4 linked regions of the Yarrowia lipolytica genome follow. The protein of the gene in region 3 interacts with the protein of the main gene of each other region in a pairwise test. Links are inferred from orthologs where the notes say so. Each region holds a gene or a part of one and is shown on either strand. Other genes may lie near its edges. The genes, in order: YALI1_F17709g, YALI1_B18955g, YALI1_C30119g and YALI1_E34525g.

Evidence for each region.
Region 1: the proteins of YALI1_C30119g (region 3) and YALI1_F17709g interact in binary tests that used the Saccharomyces cerevisiae proteins (3 or more experiments, as listed by UniProt). The link is inferred for Yarrowia lipolytica from reciprocal best matches to the Saccharomyces cerevisiae genes SEC27 and RET3.
Region 2: the proteins of YALI1_C30119g (region 3) and YALI1_B18955g interact in a protein complementation assay, tested with the Saccharomyces cerevisiae proteins (2 studies listed by BioGRID). The link is inferred for Yarrowia lipolytica from reciprocal best matches to the Saccharomyces cerevisiae genes SEC27 and PRO3.
Region 4: the proteins of YALI1_C30119g (region 3) and YALI1_E34525g interact in a protein complementation assay, tested with the Saccharomyces cerevisiae proteins (2 studies listed by BioGRID). The link is inferred for Yarrowia lipolytica from reciprocal best matches to the Saccharomyces cerevisiae genes SEC27 and SEC18.

Annotation. Positions count from the first base shown.
Region 1 is NC_090775.1:1,768,556-1,772,839, forward strand, and holds YALI1_F17709g (uncharacterized protein), read left to right. Parts: upstream 1-2,409; coding exon 2,410-2,979; downstream 2,980-4,284. Other genes in the region: YALI1_F17657g (uncharacterized protein), read left to right, coding at 1-1,161; YALI1_F17706g (uncharacterized protein), read right to left, coding at 1,478-2,095; YALI1_F17756g (uncharacterized protein), read right to left, coding at 3,679-4,284. UniProt on the Saccharomyces cerevisiae protein: The coatomer is a cytosolic protein complex that binds to dilysine motifs and reversibly associates with Golgi non-clathrin-coated vesicles, which further mediate biosynthetic protein transport from the ER, via the Golgi up to the trans Golgi network.
Region 2 is NC_090771.1:1,893,374-1,897,879, reverse strand, and holds YALI1_B18955g (uncharacterized protein), read right to left. Parts: upstream 2,344-4,506; coding exon 1,444-2,343; downstream 1-1,443. Other genes in the region: YALI1_B18975g (uncharacterized protein), read right to left, coding at 1-282; YALI1_B18971g (uncharacterized protein), read left to right, coding at 727-1,236; YALI1_B18930g (uncharacterized protein), read right to left, coding at 3,314-4,132.
Region 3 is NC_090772.1:3,008,490-3,014,337, forward strand, and holds YALI1_C30119g (uncharacterized protein), read right to left. Parts: upstream 3,508-5,848; coding exon 1,222-3,507; downstream 1-1,221. Other genes in the region: YALI1_C30086g (uncharacterized protein), read right to left, coding at 1-162, 595-642; YALI1_C30130g (uncharacterized protein), read left to right, coding at 4,576-4,594, 5,067-5,620. UniProt on the Saccharomyces cerevisiae protein: The coatomer is a cytosolic protein complex that binds to dilysine motifs and reversibly associates with Golgi non-clathrin-coated vesicles, which further mediate biosynthetic protein transport from the ER, via the Golgi up to the trans Golgi network.
Region 4 is NC_090774.1:3,450,229-3,456,401, reverse strand, and holds YALI1_E34525g (uncharacterized protein), read right to left. Parts: upstream 3,884-6,173; coding exon 1,454-3,883; downstream 1-1,453. Other genes in the region: YALI1_E34513g (uncharacterized protein), read left to right, coding at 5,061-5,444; YALI1_E34494g (uncharacterized protein), read right to left, coding at 5,721-6,173. UniProt on the Saccharomyces cerevisiae protein: Required for vesicle-mediated transport. Catalyzes the fusion of transport vesicles within the Golgi cisternae. Is also required for transport from the endoplasmic reticulum to the Golgi stack.

The sequences.
Region 1 (4,284 bases), on a different chromosome or scaffold from region 3:
GACAAGAGCGACAAGGATTCCGTTGTGGTCTTTGGCGGCAACCTGGACATTCTGACTGAGAAGTTTGGAGTCGAATCACATCTCGGCGTGTCCCCACAGCACAAGATGCGCATCCCGCGCTTTGTGGAGGACTGTATTGATGTGATGAAGACTCAGGACATGACCATTGAAGGTGTCTTCCGTAAGAACGGTAACATCCGACGGCTCAAGGTTGTGACGGAGGAGGTGAATAAGAGCGCCACCAAGACGTCTGATTTCGCCAAGGAGAACTCTGTGCAGAATGCTGCTTTGTTCAAGAAGTTTCTGCGAGAGATGCCCAATCCTCTCTTTACCTTTAAGCTGCACAAGCTGTGGATTTCGTCCCAGAAGATCGAGGATGCCACAACTCGAAAGCGAGTGCTTCATTTGGCTGTATGTCTGCTTCCCAGGTCTCACAGAGACGTGACCGAAGTGCTACTCCACTTTCTCAAGTGGGTAGCCTCCTTTTCTCACATTGACGAAGAGAGCGGTAGCAAGATGGACGCTCATAACCTCGCCACCGTCATCACTCCGAACATTCTCTATCCCAAGCCCACCGGAAAAGACCATGGTCCTGGAAGTGCCGGTACTCCTGGCTCTGCTGATTCAGCCGCTGCCGCTGCTGCCGCCGCCGCTGCTGCTGCTGCTGCTGCTTCTGCTGGAGGTGGAGGTGATGGCTACTTTCTGGCCATCGAGGCTATTCATACTCTCATTGAGCACCATGAACTGTTCTCTGAGGTGCCTGCCGATCTTCTAGAGGTGCTCAAGGAGACCAATCTGCGAGCCGCGACTGCAGACATCACTACCAAGGAAATCATGACACGATATGACCAGATGATGGGCGACCCGGCTGCACGCGCGCGCATTGAGGCCATTCGAAAGCGCCAGAGCTCCGGGTTCCGCACGCCCTCCATGCAGGTCTCCCACCTCAACAATCTCACTACGCCGGCCATGGCTGGCGAGACCTCCGAGACTAACACCGGGGGTCTCCATCCTTCGGACGCAGCCGACTGCTCGGACCGTATGCACTCCATGGTGAGCACGTCGTCCGTCGGCGAGCAACGCCCTGTGCCTATTAGGATCAACACAGAAATGATCCAAAAGATGGCGTCACGACAGGAGCGTAACACTGCTATTGTTTAAGCAAGGTGGTCCAAGGATGTAACTATTTATGATAATGACTGTATATTAGTAATGAGCTTTTCAATTGTAGTAAAGGACTAGAGGGCTGGCTGAGGCCAACAAAGACCAACAGAAGTCATATTGGTTAGCATTGCCAGTGGGGCTACATATAAGTGTCCAATTGAACATCACAGGACAATAAAGGTTTTAACTGTTCTTTCACGCCAAGTAGGTAGTCTCCTGAGCCAGGAAAAGGTCCAGGGTTGTATATTAATGCTATAATACAAGGGGCAGGTGCCATGCAAAGTGGTGGGCGGAGCCAGGCGATACTTGTCCGTCACGACTTGGTCGTCTCCTGTCTCGATTCGAAAAACTCCTCCATACTGGGTCCTCCTGCAATCTTCAGGTCCAGCTTGTCTTCGAATGACGGTCCTAGCACGGTATCTTTGAAACGCGCTGGACCCACCATCTTGGTCTGTTTGTTGATGAGTCCCTGCAGCCACTCCACCTCTTCCTGGGGGGCGGCGTCCTCTTGTTTTTTCGCCGTGATGCCGTACGTGGACGGCGCCATTGCTGCTGCTGGCTGTGTAGCTTGGCCAGTGTTGTTTGCTACTCTGCTGATTCTCCGGGCCTCTGCTGGTCCAGGTCCCTTGGCCCACTTGACAAAGTCCTGCATGCCCTGGTCGCCCTGAGGATCGGTATCGTAGGGGTCGAGTAGCACCACTGGTTTGATGACATGTGTGTTTGCCATGGCTTGTGCCACGTCTGTGATGATGGCGTCAAATCGGCCTCCGTGATGCGCCAGATTCATCGTCTCCGTCGCCAGCAGATCGAGATGCCGAATGTACAGGTCTGTGATTGTGTCCAGCACCGAAGGCGGGCATCGTTCGATACCGGCCACTCGAAGCAGTTGCGCCACTGATATGCGGGCCAGAGCAAAGTAAAAGTCTGACATGGAGGAAGTGTGGGAGAGAGGAATGGATGTGTGTTGCAATCGTGTGCGTTGCTTTTGTGTGTGTGGTGTAGGATAGCTGCGTTTGTGTCCGCGTATGTGTCTGTGGCTGCGTTTGTGTCTGTATTTATGCGGATTGTGCGTGTGCCGCGTTTGTCGTCACTAGGTTGGTGTGTCTGTCTGTCTCCATCCCTTGTCACTAAGGTTTTAAACTGGAGATGGAGGTTGGGCATTTTAAACTTCGCTACGTGTAACATAACACCTAACTGCTCTCTAGAACGGCAGATCACGACACATTCACACAACCACACAGAATCATGACGTCGGAATACTCGGTAGAGGCAGTGCTGCTGCTGGACAAGGACGGAAAGCGACTCTTCACCAAGTACTACTCGCCCCCACACGGCGACGTGCAATCACACGAGCAGCTTCAGACCCTGACGACACTCAAGGACCAGCAGACGTTCGAAAAGGGCCTGGCGCAGAAAACCCATCGACAGAATGGTGACGTCATCATCTTCGACAACAAGGTGGTCGTGTACAAGACGGTTGTGGACGTGACTCTGTACGTGGTCGGATCGTTTGAGGAGAACGAGGTGATGCTGTACCAGCTGGTTGCCGGCATCAAGGACGCGCTGGAGATTCTGCTCAAGCACTCGTTCGACAAGCGGTCTGTGCTCGAACACTTTGACCTGGTGGCTCTGGCTATCGATGAGGCCGTCGACTCGGGCGTCATTCTCGAGATCGATCCCGTCGTCATCGCAAGTAGAGTCACCCCCGCACCCGCCAAGGAAAGCATTGCGTACGGAGGAGTGGAGATCAACGAACAAACCATCTCGAACGTGTACCAGAAGTGGTCGCAGCGAGCTGGCAAGTTTTTCAGCTAGATGGAGGATGTATATGGAGGTAATAAGATGGATTTTGTGCAACATGTAGCGCGACTGTGACCCAGCTGCTCGGTGAGGGCCATCTGCTTGCGTTGCAAGTACTGTACTATAGATAAATATTGTGTTTTTGTGTGTTTTGCAATCGTAATTGGTTCAATTGAATAGTCGTATTGAAGTGTTAGTCGATCCTCCAAGTGCTGTTACGCTTGATCAAATTGTAACTAAGACAGGCGACAGCTGTGAGCTGCGTACTTGTACTTGGACAATAGACCAAGTTTGCGGGTGTAAACATGATTGTACAGGCTCAATTGAACAGTATCGACCGCTTATTCATCACAATGACATTCAGCGGTGAACGTCTACAAGTACCGGCATATTGTGCTAACTAAATTCTTGAACCAAGAACCATTGAAGTTACAGGCGTTGTACTTGTACTCATACTTGCAAATAATCAATGCGATTTTGTGTCGGCTGTTCGCTGAAGGGTCGTCTCATTGAGTCAATGAGTTGCTGGTCATAATCTGTCGTTGAACAGAAAGTAAGTCCTGTGACAAACTGTCATCTATTGGACTTGTTGTAGCTAGAAATCATCTAAAATCTCGTTGTTTGTACCATTGAGGGCTACAAGTACAGTATCGTACCAAATGTCTTCCATCTACATCATCTTCATGGTCAATTACTACTATATGCAAACATGGTCTATCGCTTCTTTCTGCCTCGGTTCTTGGAGCCCTTGGTCTTAGACGAGGGGCCAGAACCTCCCTGGACACCGGGCATGACAAGTCGGACTCGACCAACAGCCACAGGTTGTACCAGCTCAGTGTCCTTGAGTCCTCCAATGATATCAATCTCGTTGGGCCAGGGCATGTCGGTGTCCTGCATGGTAGGGTCCGTCTTGGCGGTGGTCATCTTGTGGACGATTTCCTTGACGGCCTTGCCCTTTTTGACGGTTCCAGGCACCATTTTTGCCTTGAACTTGAACTTGGACAGAGCTGCCCAAGGGGCAAACATGGGGATGGCTCCGACGACAACATCGTTCTTTTGGGCTCGAGGAATGAACGAATCAAACTGCGTTCGGGACTCCTCCTCGTCCACGTCGTCATACTGCTCCACACCCTCTTCCTTGAGTAGTCTTCGAATCTCCTGGTTCTTGATTCGCTCCTGACGCTGGATTCGTTTTTCCTCCTCGATACGTTTCTTCTCAGCCAGCTCAGCAGCCTCCTGTTCAGCTCGCTCGGCACCCTTGGTGCTTCCAAGCAGGTCCATTCGCAGCTTTCGCTCCTCCTCGTCCTGGTCAGCATACTT
Region 2 (4,506 bases), on a different chromosome or scaffold from region 3:
AATCATGTTCAGGGACTGAGTTCTGGCGGTGAACTTGAAGGAACCAGAGTCAATGACACATTTGGGGTTCCAGGAAGCCGGAGGAACAATCTTGATGATTCCAAACTGTTCCGCCTCCGGTCGAATCTTGGCCATGTACTCATAGGGGTCCTTGAACTCCTCCTTGGTAGGGTAGTAGGTGGGAGCAGTTGGCACCTGGAAGGGTCTATGCTCCTTGTGGGGGTCCTCGTAAGGAACGTCCTTTTTGCTCTTGAGCTGTTTGAGATTGAGCGTCTTCTTCATAGCAGCTTAGCACTGGCTAGGAGGGCGTCCGGATAGTGACAGAGTCGAAGAACAAGGTCCTGGCGTGCTTTGCATCTCCCATACCTTTTCGTCTAGCCCGAAAGGGCAACGTACATCTATGGATGTTAGGGGAGAGACCCATGGGAGTAATACTGTACATGTCACATGTGAGTCTCAGCTCACGCGGCATCCCTGAAGCTCTTCGACCAACATGTCCACTGTGGATGCTTTGGGACTCTTACATAATATTGTCGTTCACAGAGTATAAGCACGTTGACGAGGGCTCTTCTGTCGCCGCTTACCATTCCCCCAGCTACGGGACTGCTTCAGAACAATGCATAGACATGTGCGTTTAGGCGCCTTTAAATTTTCCCTTCTACTTGTACTGTACTTGTACTGGTATCCAAACCAAAATTAACGTTGTTCCAGTGGCTCTAAACTTCAATGGCGTTGCTTTCTCTTGTCTGGACAAAAATTGGTGTTGTGCACCTAAAATGGGCCACGCATAAAATCAGTCGCAATAGCTTGACCCGACGGCCTCATCTAAAAACGGCGGAAAAAAAACAAAAAAAAGATATGGCGCGACTGGCAAGACTGGCTACAGCTCAAGACTACACCGTGGTCGACATTAGAAACGTGTCGCAGTCTCTTATTCGGCAGATGGAGTGGTTGGAACAAGAGATCCAAGCTTCAGCGAATCGCGTGGTGCAGCTGGAAGATAATGGCGATGACGAGGCCGAGGGTCCAGCACAAGCTGCGGCACCACAGGTCAACAACGATGAGCTAAGAGCAGACGTTCAGAAGAAACTGACACCATTGTGGCAGGGCTCCCTGAAGCTGACTCTGTCTGACTCTAACCAGCAGCTTGTCTACGCCATCGAGCGGGTACGTGTTGCTCAACTGCACCGTCGGGACATCATTGGAGCTAAAGTGAGTATTTCTTATTGGTCTTGACAATCATCAGGTAGAATTTCCATTATTTTCTCTTCTTATATATATGCCGTTCGACAGTTTGATCCGTCCCCTTGCTAACCCAGATTACTCTGAATGAACCTGAAAAGGTACTCGACATGCTCATGATCACTCCTGAGTGCGCAAAAGTCACCACATTGGGAACCAACATGGACCTCGAGGCAAAACTAGCCCAGCTCCAAGAACAACTTATTTCTTAGCAGCACCGCCACCAAGAGACTTAGCGATGTTAGTGGACTCCTCCACGGCTCGAGCAACGGAAGATCGAACGCCCTTGTCCTCCAGAGCAAGCAGTCCTCCAATAGTGGTTCCGCCAGGAGTGCACACAGCGCTCTTGAGGACGGCAGGGTGCTGGCCAGACTCAACAACCATCTTGGCAGCTCCCAGCATGGACTGAGCTGCACACTGGAAGGCAGTGTTGTAGGGCATGCCCATTCGAACAGCACCATCGGCCAGAGCCTCGATAATGAGGAAGCAGAAAGCAGGGGAAGATCCACACAAAGCAGTGGAGACGTCCATTTGCTTCTCCTCGAGGGTGATGCACTTTCCGGTCTGCTCAAAGATCCAGGACACAGCGTTGACAACGCTCTCGTCAACGGTAGCGTTATCGGGGAACGACAGAACGGTCATACCGGCTCCGATTCGAGAAGGAGTGTTGGTCATGGCTCGAACAACCAAAGGCTTGGGGCATCGGCCAGAGTAGCTCTCAATGTCGGCAATGGTCTTTCCGGCAAGCAGCGAAACCAGAACCTTGCCCTCCAGCATTTGCTGCAGAGGAGTCAGGATCTTCTCGGCCATGTAGGGCTTGGATCCGAGAACAAACACATCAGCCTTGTAGGCAGATCCGTTGTCATTGATAAGAATCTCGACGGGAATGTCAGGGGCAGAGGAGGTCAGATCCTTGTGCAATCGGTCAGCGGACTCCTGTCGGGTCACACAGGCCATGAACTTGCCGGGCTTCGGGGCGTCACCCTCCTTGTTACCCTTGCTTAGAGAATCGAGCACAGCTCCTAGCACGGCAGTACCCATGGTACCGCAGCCGAGGAAACAGATTGTGTAGCCGTCCTTAAGTTGAATATCCACACCCATTGTTGATTTGCAATTCGTTGTAGAAAGGTGAAGTTTGGTGGACAAACTGCACGTATGTTGTATTCTCACTGCACAGTGTCCCGAAGAGAGCCGAACTCTATCACCCCACAAGTGTTACAGTAACAAGGCCTGAGTTGACTACAAGATAAGTACAAGTACATGTGTGAGTACCCATCAAACAGCAAAATTCATGACTAATTAGAGTAGAAAATTACGCCTCAGGATCTAGATAAGCCATGCCATCAACTAGACCCAAGTCTATACCCATCAAACCTCCTCTATTTGCCCAATCGTACATTGTTAAAGTGCTCGCTGTCTTGTCGAGCTTGCGACTCCTTGTACATCGTTCTCACTCACGAGTACAAGCAACTACGATACGATGAGTCCACTTATCCAAACTCGATATGACTGTGCAGCAGCAGATTACCCGACCACTATCATACCCCCGACACACAAGAGCAGTCACTACTCCTACGAGTACTTGTAGACTCAACCAAATCCGCTTAGGACTAGACTCAGCGGGGATATATCGGCTCACATGATTTCGTTTACACATGTACGGTATATCTAGGCACTAATCGACAGAGTTCCAAAAATACACTCCTCCGAACTTAGCTGCAGTGTTGCGTGTGCACATGTGCGGACGACATCCGCGCACTTAACGCTTTGGTGACTATTTGTATGTAGAAGTGGTCCATCTTAAACAGTAATAACAATACAATTAGCCAACTACAGTCAAATCATCATCTTGAAACTCACTGTATGAAGAGACGCCTGAAACACTACGTTTGAGGCTTCATGTCTTTTTGTTTCACCAGTATGACTCATCATTTGATTAAAACACCTCAAAATACAATACGACATACACGAATTCTTTTGCAAGCATGTGTTGTGAGGGAGCCTCATTATAGCTATACGAACCTTTCCATCACACTCTTAATTGTTTTTACATAAAAATTAAAGCACTACTCTACTCCTTGGGCTCCTCAGCAGCGGGCTTGGCCTCCTCCTTGGGGGCAGCAGCCTCGGTGGAAGCAGCGGCAGCATCGGTGGCAGGGGTCTCCTCAGACTGCTGGGCTTGCAGAGACTCTTCGAGGTCGTTCTTCCAGAGGGTCAGGTTGTCTCGCAGAAGCTGCATAATGACGGTAGAGTCTCGGAAAGACTCCTCGGAGAGAGTGTCGAGCTCAGCGATGGCATCATCGAAAGCCTGCTTGGCAAGGTGGCAAGCACGGTCTGGCGAGTTGAGAATCTCGTAGTAGAAGACGGAGAAGTTGAGAGCGAGACCAAGTCGGATGGGGTGAGTTGAGCTGAGCTCAGTCTGGGCAACATCAGTGGCGCTCTTGTATGACTCGTGAGCGGCAGTGGCAGCCTCTTTTCGCTTCTCGCCGGAGGTGAACTCGGCAAGGTATCGATGGTAGTCACCCTTCATCTTGTAGTAGAAGACCTTAGACTCGGCGTTCTCGGCCTTGGGGAGGAGGTGGTTGGTGAGGATATCAAGAACATCGCTGCAGATGTCTTCGAGCTCTGCCTCAATCTTGGCTCTGTAGGTCTTGAGAAGCTCGAGATGGTGGGTGGCACCCTTGGCCTCCTCCTTCTGCTCTATGGGGAAAATGACTCTCCAGCTGGCTCGTCGAGCGCCGATAACGTTCTTGTAAGCGACGGAAAGCAGATTTCGCTCGTCGACAGTAAGCTCCTCACCGGACTTAGCGACGTCCTTCATGTAGTTGACCATCTCGTCGTATCGGTCAGCCTGCTCACAGAGCCGGGCAAGGAAGGTCTTGGTTTCTCTCTAATGGTTAGTATCTGTGTTGATGAGGGGTGTACTCACACGATATATGATGGATTCATCACCAAAACGTTATCATCTGCGTTTCTCATCGGCTCGTCGTGACCGCTTCTTTTCTCGCTGGGTTGTTGCAGTCGTCGTCACACACCATCATCATCATCTAGTCATCTTCGTAGCTACTCGGTGTGGGGGAATAAACCCACCACACAATGCTGGTTGCAAACGGCCATCGCAATTGAATCAATCCATCACATCATCCGCATCATCCGTTTGCGGTTCTGCGGTTGTGATGTCGTGGCAAAACACATGGGGCACACATATGCAAACACAAACGCAATGAACACGACAGCCCAAAACTGGGCAGAATAGGGAGGCAC
Region 3 (5,848 bases):
GGCAGTGGCCTGGTCGACCTGCTTTCGGCCCTGGCCGCCGTTGAGTCGCAGATCTCGCTCCATCATCTGGGAGTCCCACTGGTCAATGGCGAATCGGTCTCGGACGCCTCCGTTTCGGTAGACGTGGAGAACCTGCATGGCTCCACCTCCAGCGGTGAGGAGCTGAGTTAGTCTATGAATGGGGGTTGTGGTCGTGTGCCTCGCGACCTTGACGGGATCGAACTACTCCGAGGCAATAAACAACAGTCTGAGAGAATAGGGAAAAGCGAAGACATGTGAGATCTGATTCCAAAGGATTCTGCGTGATACAGACATATCCCCTGCCGGCTGGGAATACCATGTCAAAGTCATTGTACGTCAGAGACTTACTGTAGCTTCCCTTCCACAGTAATGGAGTGGTCCGGTATAGCTGGTATCACAAGCATCGTTCATCAATCGTCCAGGGAATGTGGCACCTCCACTCTCGTATCGAATCGCTCTCCAGAATTTCTGCATTCACTCCTGTAACTGTCGTCTTGTAGTGTACCTCCTGTCCGGTCAAATCACAAGTCCAAAGCCATAGCTCGAGCCACAAAGCCGCCGTCTCATACTTACACCAAAAATGATACCGTAAGGGAGCAATGCCTCAAAAGGAATAGCCATTTTGTCGTGTGTCTGGTTGTGTGTTAGAAGCTGTGATGTCACTGCAAGCCGAGTTACCCAAATTTTGATTGGTGGGAGGGACGCCCTCCTAACCCTGACTTTGGAACTTTGTTTAGTAAGCGATGAGACCATTGAAAGAGATCTACTCAGCGTGATAACAAACAAAGGCACGATCAAACAGTCACATGATATAAATTACTGCTACATTCAAAAACAACCATCTCAAACCATTTCTCTACACCATCTCGACAACTGGACTATTCATACCTCTTCTACACACTTTAACGTGACATGATATCCAAGTAAACTGTTGGGAGTTAAACTAAAAATACTGTAGTTTTAGAGTAAACTCTTCGACCTCGAGCTGGACAAGGAGCTGGATATCCCCCCTGGATACTTAATCACTGTGCAATACTGTACAAGTACAAGTACACTGGATACTTCCTACAATATGTACAATATGTAACTCACCACTTCCACGGTGTACTCCGCAACAGCTCGTGCCATGCTCTCAATCTACTTATACAATGATATTTATTTAACATGACCTATTTCTACGTCCACCTCTAGCATTCCCTCTTACAAGGTGTTGGCAGCCTCATCAACCTCCTCCTGCATCTTGACCTCAACCTCAACCTCAGCCTCAGCCTCGGTCTCGGATAACTCATCCACAGCCGCGGGGTTGGGCTTCTCGGGTTGCACGTTAGTCACGGCCTCGACCTTGCCGTCCTCCTTGATCTCGACAGGAGCTCCCAGCTTGGGTTCGGCAGCCTTCTCAGCGGGCTTCTCCTCAAAATCAATCAGGTTGCCCTGAGGGAACTTGTCGGGTTCTTCACTGGGGGAAGAAATGGACTCGGCAATCTTGTCCTTACCGTTGGCGACCAGGGAAGCCTTCCACTGACCTACAGACTTCTCCACGTTACCCTTTCCGTACGACAGAGCAACGAGAGCAGCCTCCGAGTGTCGACCAGTCTTGTTAAGCAGATCAACACACTGCTTCACGGCACCGATGGACCACAGGGCGTTGAAGGCAACGTTGTACTTGCCAGCATCGGCAGCCTTGTCAGCCACCCACTCCATGCCGGCTCGGTTTCCGGTGGCCGAGTACAGCAGCAGCAGAGACTCGACCTCGGCGATGGAAGAAGACTTGAAACACTTCTCGGCCAGGTCGAAGTTCCAGGCGGCAGTGGCAGCGTCTCCAAGCAGCTTCCATCGGTGGTCTTGAGGCGATCGCTCAGCAATCTCAGAGGCCACGGACAGGTCGTTAAGTGCAAGGGCAAGATCAAACTTGTGCTCGTCGTCGGTGCTCACCTCCAAAGCAAGCTCCTTGAAGCCCTGGGCCTCCAGGAACTTGGCCACCTTAGACAGCTCCTCCTCAGGGATTGCAGGGAGGAAGTCCGACTGCGCAAGCTCGACGTCGCCTCGCAGAACAACAGTCTGGTATTCAACGAGAGGCACAGACAATCGGTACGACGACACATTGACATCCTTGTCACACAGGTAGATACGCGAGTCCTTGGACACAAAGCCAAGCAGGTACTTGGCCTTATCGAAATGTGCGACTGTGTATGTGACGCCGCCAACCAGGTAGTTGAGTCGGTTGACGGACGAGGTGTAGACGAAGCAGTCGAGCAGCCACTCTCCGGACCGAACGGAGTCGGAAATTTCGTGCAGCAGCTCAAACGACTCCTCCACACCGTCCTCGTCCACGTTCTCGGCCTCATCAACCGCGTCCTTGTTGTATCGCAGAACGTAGAAGGCGTCGGCCGAGGTGATGGCGACCAGCTCGCCAGAGTCAGACCAGTGCACGCCGGTGACACCCTCCACGTCAATTCGTCGCACCAGCTGGCCAGTCTCCCACGAGTACATGGCGACAAAGCCATGACCCTTCACACCGAGCAGGGTACCACCGAAGATGCCCTCAACGGAAAAATTGGGGTCTACATGGCCCAATGGCCGCTCCTTGAAGTTCTTGTAGACTCGCACGGAGCTGGGGGACTCAAGCACAGCGTACTCGCTGGAGTCCTGGGCCCAAACAAAGTCCAGACCGGAGCCGTAAGCCTTGTTTCGCCATGCCAGAGCGGTGTAGATGATGTACTCACCGTCACCAACAACAGCCACAAATCGGCCGTTGGGGGAGTGTCGCAGGAAGGTGGGGAAAACCTCGACGGATCCCAGCTCCTTGGGCACCAGAGCAAGGGATTCGCCGTCCTTGGCGTCCTCGCCCTTAACCTGAGCGGAATAGACTTCTCCGTGCTTGCTCCACACCAGCTTTCCAGAGCTGTCCAGAGAGATGGCAGGGTCCTCCTTACCAAGACGGAGGACAACCGCGCCGGCATCAAAACCGACAGCCACGAGGTTGGAGCCTCGCTTGACACCCACACACCAGGCTCGCTCATAGCTGTAGTTGAGGGTCTGCTCGAGCTGGTAGGTGTTAGCGTTCCACACCTTGACGGTATTGTCCTCGGCACCAGAGATGATGACGGGCAGATCGGGATGGAAGACAGCGAAGGACACGTTGTTAGTGTGGCCCTCCATGGTGGCGACGCAGGCCTTGGTCTGGTAGTCCCACACCTTGACGGTCTTATCGTCCGAAGATGTGATGAGGTAGGGCTTGTCAGCACCGGGATAGTATTCGACGAAGTTGACGCCGGCGGTGGCATGGGCCTCGAGGGTGAAGTTGGGCCGCGACACGGTGGAGGCGCCCGACAGAGACCACACCTTGACGGTTCGATCCAGACATGCGGAGGCAAATGTGTTTGTGTCCTTGGGGTTGAAGGCCACGTACATGATGTAGTGGCTGTGGCCCAGGTACTGTCGCTCCATGGTCCAGTTTGTGTCCCAGTTCCACAGCCGGATGGACATGTCGTCGCCGGCGGTCAGCACGTAGGGCAGGGTGGGATGAACGGTGATGACACGGATGTAGTCGGGGTGGGCCTCAAACTGGGCCTCCTTGGCTCCAGTGTTGTAGTTGAAGACTCGCACAATAAAGTCGTCGGAGCCAACAATGATCCAGTTTTTTCGGGCAATGAACCGACCGGCTCGAAGAGGAACATCTGCCACCTCGATGCTCTTGACCACCGTCTGTGTCTCGTAGTTCCAGATCTGGGCCACTCCCGAGTACAGAGTGGTGAGTAACCATGGCTCAGTGGGGTGGAAATCGATTCCCTTGACTCGGTCAGAACGAGTCTGCGAGTGTCGCTGTGTTAGTCGTCGTCATGGCCGCGTGAATCGCTCAATTACTCACCTTGATTTCGAGCTTCATGGTGTAGTGCTACGCAGAGTGCAATAGAGAGTTTCATACGTGTACTTGTAGTGTTCGGTAGGGTAAGTAGGAGGAGTGATGGCGCTGGGAAATGCTCTGCTCAAAGAAACATCTCCGGGGGACACAATATTGTATAATAGAGATGATAAATGGACAATAGGAAGCTTGCTCTGAATGTTCCAGTTCTCTCTCAAGATAAATACTTCCAAGTCCCACAACTTTTGGCACCAATTACGTCTACACACACACCTGATGTACAGTGTACTCGTGCTCGCCTATTGATCTCACACCACAATATGTACACGTAATGTCCCAACACCCCCAAAGGACCACGGTTTTTACCTTGGTGCTGCACGATTTTGGCTTCCGTTTTACGTGTCAGCCAAAATTCATATCGGTAGGAGATTGCACAATGACGGGAGATTGTAGAGGATAAGCGTGGAGATAAAAAGGAAGAGAATTGTATGTGAGGAAAAACGGACAGTATATATACTCTTTTGCAGCACCTTCTATTGCTCCCAAACACCTCCTATACCAGTACCAAAGCGTCAGCCCCACCCTGGACTCAGTCGGATGCACGTGAAGCCGCCGGCTTAACCTTTTTGCTACATTCCACCTCACTCACCAACTTATCATCACACGTTGTCCTACTTCTTCAACTACTAATCATGTGGATTGTCAACTGGTGTGAGTATGGATGGAATACAGGGGCACTGATTGGTCGCTTGTGTTTGTGTACTTGTTACACAGACGCGGAGGCTAGCGGAAAAAAAGAAATCAGATCAAGTGGCGATACACGATACACGACAAGCTCTACAGCGACACGGGGGCTTCGTGACTTGAAATCCCGGAGGTGAAAACACAGTTAACAGAGACTGGCGACTTAGGGCTGTTCCAGAGACTCAAAAACAGGTACCGATGCCGTTTTTTGCCCCTGTTGCATTCATCAAGTTGCGGTTTGATGCCGTTCAGGGTTGCTCAACCCCCTGAAGATACACGGTTGCTCTGCTGTTATACCCTAAACAGTCATACGGTGGTATTCAACACAAGCAAACTCTCTGTGCCGTTATTGTACTGCTTAAACAGCAAGTCTGCTATCGTATCGCCGCTCAATTTCGCTTCACTCGCTTTTTGATTTGCCCCCCTTTTGCTAACCTAGTCTACGACGTTCTGTCCTCTCTCGGACTATGGAACAAGAACGCCAAGCTGCTCTTCCTCGGTCTCGATAACGCCGGAAAGACCACCCTGCTGCACATGCTCAAGAACGACCGAATGGCCGTCTCTAACCCCACCGTGCACCCCACCTCCGAGGAGTTGTCCATCGGCAACTGTAAATTCACAACCTTTGATCTCGGTGGACATATCCAGGCCCGACGAGTGTGGAAGGACTACTTTCCCGAGGTCAACGGCATTGTTTTCCTCGTCGATGCCGCCGACCCTACTCGATTCGCCGAGTCCAAGGCCGAGCTCGACTCTCTGCTTGCCATTGAGCAGCTCAAGACTGTGCCCTTCTTGATTCTTGGAAACAAGATCGACATGCCCCAGGCCGTTTCCGAGCTCGAGCTCAAGGACGCCCTTGGACTGTACCAGACCACCGGTAAGGGCAAGGTGCCTCTTGAAGGCAACATCCGACCCATCGAGATTTTCATGTGCTCCATTGTCATGCGGCAGGGCTACGGAGACGGTATTCGATGGCTGTCTCAGTATGTTTAGAGGGAATAAATTATTGTATTCTGATTGTGATGAGCAAAGCCGTGATTCCACATGGACCTGCGAACGGCTACATACTTGTTCCTACGTAGTTTGGGTATTTCAAGTACAAGCATCGGGTTGGGCCATCTACATCTGTAGTCGCCCTGCCATCCTTTCAACCACTGGTACCTTCAATGGTTTAGTTCACATAGTACCAATCGATGAGTCAGTCATTTGTATGATACAATC
Region 4 (6,173 bases), on a different chromosome or scaffold from region 3:
CCACCTGCTAGTGGGCTATGTCAATGTCACACCCTCCCCCTTGGGCTCACGTCTCATCACGTCTGCCAAAATTATAGCCGTGGGCTCAGCAGATGTCAACAAAGCCGTCGTAGGCAACATTGACGTCTGATTTAGCTGGTAATATTTGACCTCGAGCTGTATTTGGACAGAGCTGTAAGAAGGAGGGGCCTAGAAAGAATGCAGTGTTTTCTGGAGATCCCAGATCCTTGTCTGTGGCACTCAGTCCGTAGAACAACTGTCATAGTGGACTCTGACAGCTCAGGATCAAACTTGACATTCTGACATGGGCAGACACATTGGGCCTTCTAACCAACGCATGTTACGCATAAAATGGTTGACGTATAAAACACGTTCACGATTGCAGAAAACCACACAGTATCTATAATTACATGTACTATCCTAGAACGCCCTCCCATAGCTTTTTGCTTTTCACACCCTACCACCCCCTCGCTGAAACCTACCCAACCCGATCGAGGTACAGGAGGTCGGTGAACAATCAGTCCGGCGACTGTTAGACTCGGTGATTGAAGTCCACGCTAAAGCATGCAACAACTACAAGCTAAGAGCTACTACCCCAATCCAATACCACGCTCAATGTAACTGCAAAAATCTCCGAAAATTCCGAACTCATGTTCCCCTGCAACCAACTCCTACCACCTTTAATTTTATTTACGAGGTGGTATTTTGGGGGGTTCCAGTGATGACGATCTCGCTACACCGGCTAGGGCAGCTCCTTCCATTTTTGTTTCCCTAGAGATGATCTAAACCAAAAGAATGTGGGTTATATTATGTCACTGCTAGTCTCTTCACATACAAAGAAGACGAGCAACTGTCACTGAGTCAATGGCATGTGAAGTACAATACAAGACTGGGACCAACATGACGTCAGATGGCCAAATACCATTGCCCAGTACGAGTAAGTATCTACTTGTAGTGAAGACATGCACAAGGTACGCTACGGTTGTATACTGTACTATACTGTGTTGTACGGCGATAAGACCACCACTTCGCTCAAAGTGCTTTAAGTGCAGTTATATCCGCTTGAATAGTGCCAGTCTAAAGGATGTGTACTGTACCTACCGTAGTAGCCCTGTCACTGCACTTGTTTCCCAGAAGACCCTACGGAGTGCTACTTGTAGTCGCTAATTTGGTTTCTGCCCTCAACGATAATTATTATTTCGCCTAACAGCTGTTTTGGGATACCTGTTAGCTCGTGTGTGGGCTGAAAATGCTACGGTGGTTAACTATGGCATGCGTGTGAATGCAACTCGTCCTACATGTTCACTCGCGTCCTGTTGCACTACACTGCCCAGGTTGCTACCAGTTGTTTTGTGTCCATCACTGGTTCATGATAGTTTGTTTTGCGCATCCGTTCCGCTCTGCCATTGTCCCATCATTTCAATCTCATGTATTCTATTCTAATCGTGATTCGTTAAACATACTTGTTTCGTCGGGCGTTTATATGGTCAACCATAAAATCGACAAACTCCTCCTCAACATCTGAAGAGTACTGGGCAGTCTTGAGACCAGACAGCAGAGTCTTGATACCAATGGAAGGCACGGTAGATCCAGTCTTGGCCTCGATGGACTGTACAACCCGGTGTCGAGCCTCGGGAGAGTCCAAGAACTGCATAGCGTCCAGTACCTTGTTGAGCTCCTTGAGAGACTGTAGGTAAGGTACGCCAATCTCGGAGTCAAACGCGGAAATCAGATCCATCTGCTCAAGAACGTGTCGCTCATGAGTAGTAACCAGAATTAGCAATCGGCAGCCCTTGGGAGGAGTCTTTCGACACAGAGTCTTGACGGCCTGCAGCAGAGAGTTTGAGAACCGGGGTCCAATCTGGACCCACTCGAGAATGATCTCAATAGAGTCAATCACAATGACGGACAGAGGAGACTTGTAAGCATCCAGGAAACAGTTCTGAATGGCAGTGATCTTAGATGCCTCGGACATACCAACATAGCCTTCGGGAGAGATGAGTCGCACGAAGGGGAAGTTCGACTGCATGGCAATGGAAGCTGCGAGAGCAGTCTTACCAGAGCCAGCAGGGCCGTGAAGCAGCAGAGAAGCCAGAGCACGGTCGCCAGAAGACTGTCGAACTCGCTCAATAAATAGCTCTCCCTTCTTGAGAATGTCATCAATGTTGGGAGAGTACTTGATGATACCACCAGAGACGGCAGCATCGAGATCCTCTTCGGAGACACCAAACGCGGGACGCACTTCCTGGAGGGCATGCACAAAGTCGTCCCGCATTAGCATGAGCTCTCCGCCCTTCTCCTGTCGCACGCCTCCTCCACCTTGGTCCAACTTGAGGTTTCGAGTGAATGCATAAGAAGCAGCAGAGTTAAGCAGACCCTTAATTTCGGCACCAGAGTAGTTCTTAGTCTCTCCAGCAAGCTCGTTAAGATCCACATCTCTGCCCAACTTTCCTGCAGCAGTCATAGGCGCGGTGTGAATCTTGAGAATTTGCAGACGGCCAGCCTCATCAGGAAGGGGAATCTCAATCTGGACCTCGAATCGACCAGGTCGCATCAGAGCAGAATCAATCAGATCCTTTCGGTTGGTCATACCGATAACCAGAATGTTATTGAGCTGCTCCACACCGTCCATCTTAGCGAGCAGCTGGTTGACGACGTTGTCTCCAACACCGGTACCTCCACCGGTGGAGCCTCGCTGTTTGAAGACAGCATCCAACTCATCGAAAATGATGATGTGAAGACCGGAGTCATCGCCCTTCTCTCGGTACTCCGCCTCGGCGTCCTTGAACAAGTTTCGAATGTTCTCTTCGGAAGCACCAACGTACTTGTTTAGGATTTCGGGACCGTTGACAATCTTGGGTTCTCGAGCGTTGAGCATCTTACCAATTTGTCGGGCGATTAGAGTCTTACCTGTACCGGGAGGTCCGAACAACAAGATACCCTTCACGTGGTTGATACCAAGGGCCTCGACATCGGCAGGAGAGTAGATTCGAGAAGCGAAGGCTCGTCGGAAGATGTTACCAAACTGGGCATCAAGACCACCAATACCGAGATCCTGGAATTTGAAGTCGGGCTGAATGATAGCGTTCTGTCGGGGTTTGTTCTTGGCGCTCTTGAGGTTCATGGCCGATCCCTTGGCCTTGTTGAAACCGATATCGGTGTGTCGAACGAGAATACCTCGGACGTTTCGGGCAGCCACTCCGCCAGCGTCTCCCAGATTGACCACCGAGGTAGAGAGCACTCTGATCTGGAAATTGAGGCCCTCGAAGTCCATAGCCAGGGTCTGTCCAGGGGTGAAGATCTGGTTAGCGTACTGGTGCAGGAAGTGGTGAGCGAGCTTTTCGGGCTCAAAGGATCGGGATCCAGCTCCGCTGGCCGCACTGGCAGACAGGAAGTCGATTTCCAGCTCCAGGTTGCCCAGATACACCTGCTGTGTCTTGTGGAAGGGGTCGTAAGGTGCCACATGGACAGTCATGTTTGTGCTGAGAGCTGCCCATCGTCGCTGCACTGCTCCGGCAAGGATCTGGCCGGGAGCAGCATGTGGCGACTGTCGCACGGTGAAGACGTGCTGGTTGTTGATAATGACGTAGTCTCCGTCAGCAAAGGTTCCAGGGGGCACTTCGAGGAGGTTGGCCAGGGCAAACGCCTTGTCCTTGCCCACTCCCAGAATCATATCGCCACCGTGACCGGAAGGAGGTTGTCTGTGCTGCTGAGGAGGAGGGGTCTGGTGATGAGGAGGCATGGGCTGTCCCTGAGTAGGTGCCCGTCTAGGAAGACCAGGGTTGTTCATTGTTCGGGGGGAATTGGATCCGGAGTGAGTAGGAGAGTGTTGTTCAGGAACCCGGTATGGATTCTGATTGTCCTTTTTGCCAAAACCGAACATGAGGGGAATTGGGTTGCGACAAGAGAGTGTGAGATGTACGTGGTCGTATCACGTGGATGCAGGACGATGCGGTCTTAGTGATGTTGGGAGAGTGAAGAATGGGAGTTGGGACAAGACAAATAGTGCAAGTCTAGCGTTATAAGTAACAGCAGATCAGAGAACGTCTAAGAACAATTGGATTTGCATTAATGCCTGGCTTCGACTAAGTGGATTACAGTATTGCTCGCCGGAGCCGTGGCTATAGGTACTGTATGTGGCTTTTACTTATTTATTGCAACACAGGAGAGTCACACCGTGGGCCCCGAGTACGAAAGTTGGTTACCACCTTACCAGTCTAACTACTTGTAGCTGTTATAAGTACTATAACAAGTATGGCGTCCCAGTTCGAGTTTCACGAACGCCGGATTAATAACAAAACACCATAAGATAGACAGGCGCTCCGACACCACCAGCCAATATGGAAAGAGCTGAGTGATTATTTACAGAGTGGTGGGCTACTTTGGAGGCAACCTCCAACTCTGATGCACTTTCAGCCGTTTACATACTTGTATAGAAGAAGCGCAGTTCCCATAACTACAGCCTCTCGACCAGAGTCTGCTGACATTGTTTGACCAAAACTAAAAACACATTGAATTACAATTCAAGGCTTCCACACATAGTCGAATAACTGTATACTGTAGGAAATATGGTGTTTGAGATGGAGGAGAAAGATCTTTTCAACGTGCTCAATCTGCCCTCCGATATTCTTAGATCAACCCCTTTAAATATCCTCATTTCCTGCTACTTGTAGCGACGTCATGGGTTCGCTTAACGGCCGCTACTTCTGAGTCTCCAGCCTCTCTATCTCCATAATAACGTAACGCCATTCCATTAACGCGGAACCTTACTCAGAGGTGCTAAAGGGTCTATATATACTGCAATATGGGGATATTGATAGTCGATTGGGATTACTAACATTGCTCTACAGTACACTTTTATTCAACTTTTCCGTATTCAATTCCGACTACTCTCGTCATCATTCTAACCGAAAACAGGAAACACATCGTTCTGGTCCAAACCCTCCAACCCACAGTACTGCTCGTACTTTAATCAACAAATATCTCCCAAGGAGCCTGAACTTAGACATCTGTATGCGCCAACTATTCACGTAACGTGATATCAGCTGAGGTCCCGAACCATGGCCAAACGACCTCGATCTGCATCGCACCACGTGCCTGTGGCCTACCATCCCGGGTCTCTGGTGTCTCTCAACCGCACACAACGAAAACTCACCGAATACAGCGAAATCGCATCTTGGGGATGGATCCTACTCATCACAACATGGTCTCTGATCTTCTTCGCAGTCTTCACGATGTTTGATCTAGATATCTACTTGTTTGGATCGAAGACAGACCGCAAAAATATGCACAAGGCTCCTGATGATGACGACGACTTCCCCATCAGAATGTACTATCCAACGTCCTTCTTCCTGTCCCTCGTCATGGCTTGGGTCTGGTGTATCGTCAGTTGGATGGGTCTCAAATTCTTCAAACACGCCAAAGTTGATCCTACCAGCAGGTGAACGAGGTTATTTCAAGCTGCAATTACCACCTTCTACACACATCTACACACTTCACCGACTACACCTTGCACCGACTACACATTTCATACTAACACTGTACAGCACATAGACTAATATCATTTATAGAGCATGTCTGCATTGTTTATATAGGTGCTGGGTAGTTGTTTAAACAGTGCTCCGAGTCACATTCTCATTTAATGTAATGGTATATCATTCATCCATGGTACGTACTATCTGTTGCAAGGCATCAATACATACATCTTCAATCCCAGTCTCCTAAAGCATAGCACCTCGTCGGCGAGCAGCTCGAGGGACCTTCTTGCCGTTGGGAATCTTCTTCTTTTGCGCCTGTTCTCGCTGCGCCTTCTCCTCCTTCTCTCGCTGCTCTCGCATCTCGTTGGCGTCAGGATAGTCCACGATCCAGTCTCCAACTCGCAGCTGGTTGGCGACGAAACTACTCGTCAATAGACCCCACTCGGAAATGTCAGGAAAGTGAAGATTCTTGGCGTTGTCGTCAATCTTGTGCCAGACAGGGGGGAAATGGCTGGGGATCAAATGCAGAACAGGCACTCCTCGGTGCAGAAAGGGGAGGTGGTCATCACCAATAACAGCTCCTCGAAAGAATGCGGGCTTTCCCTCGGTGAAGATGGTCTCCTTCTCATCCATACGTGCACTTAGACCGATATCCCGGATTCGCTGCTCCAGAGAAGCAAACACCTCGTACTGCCA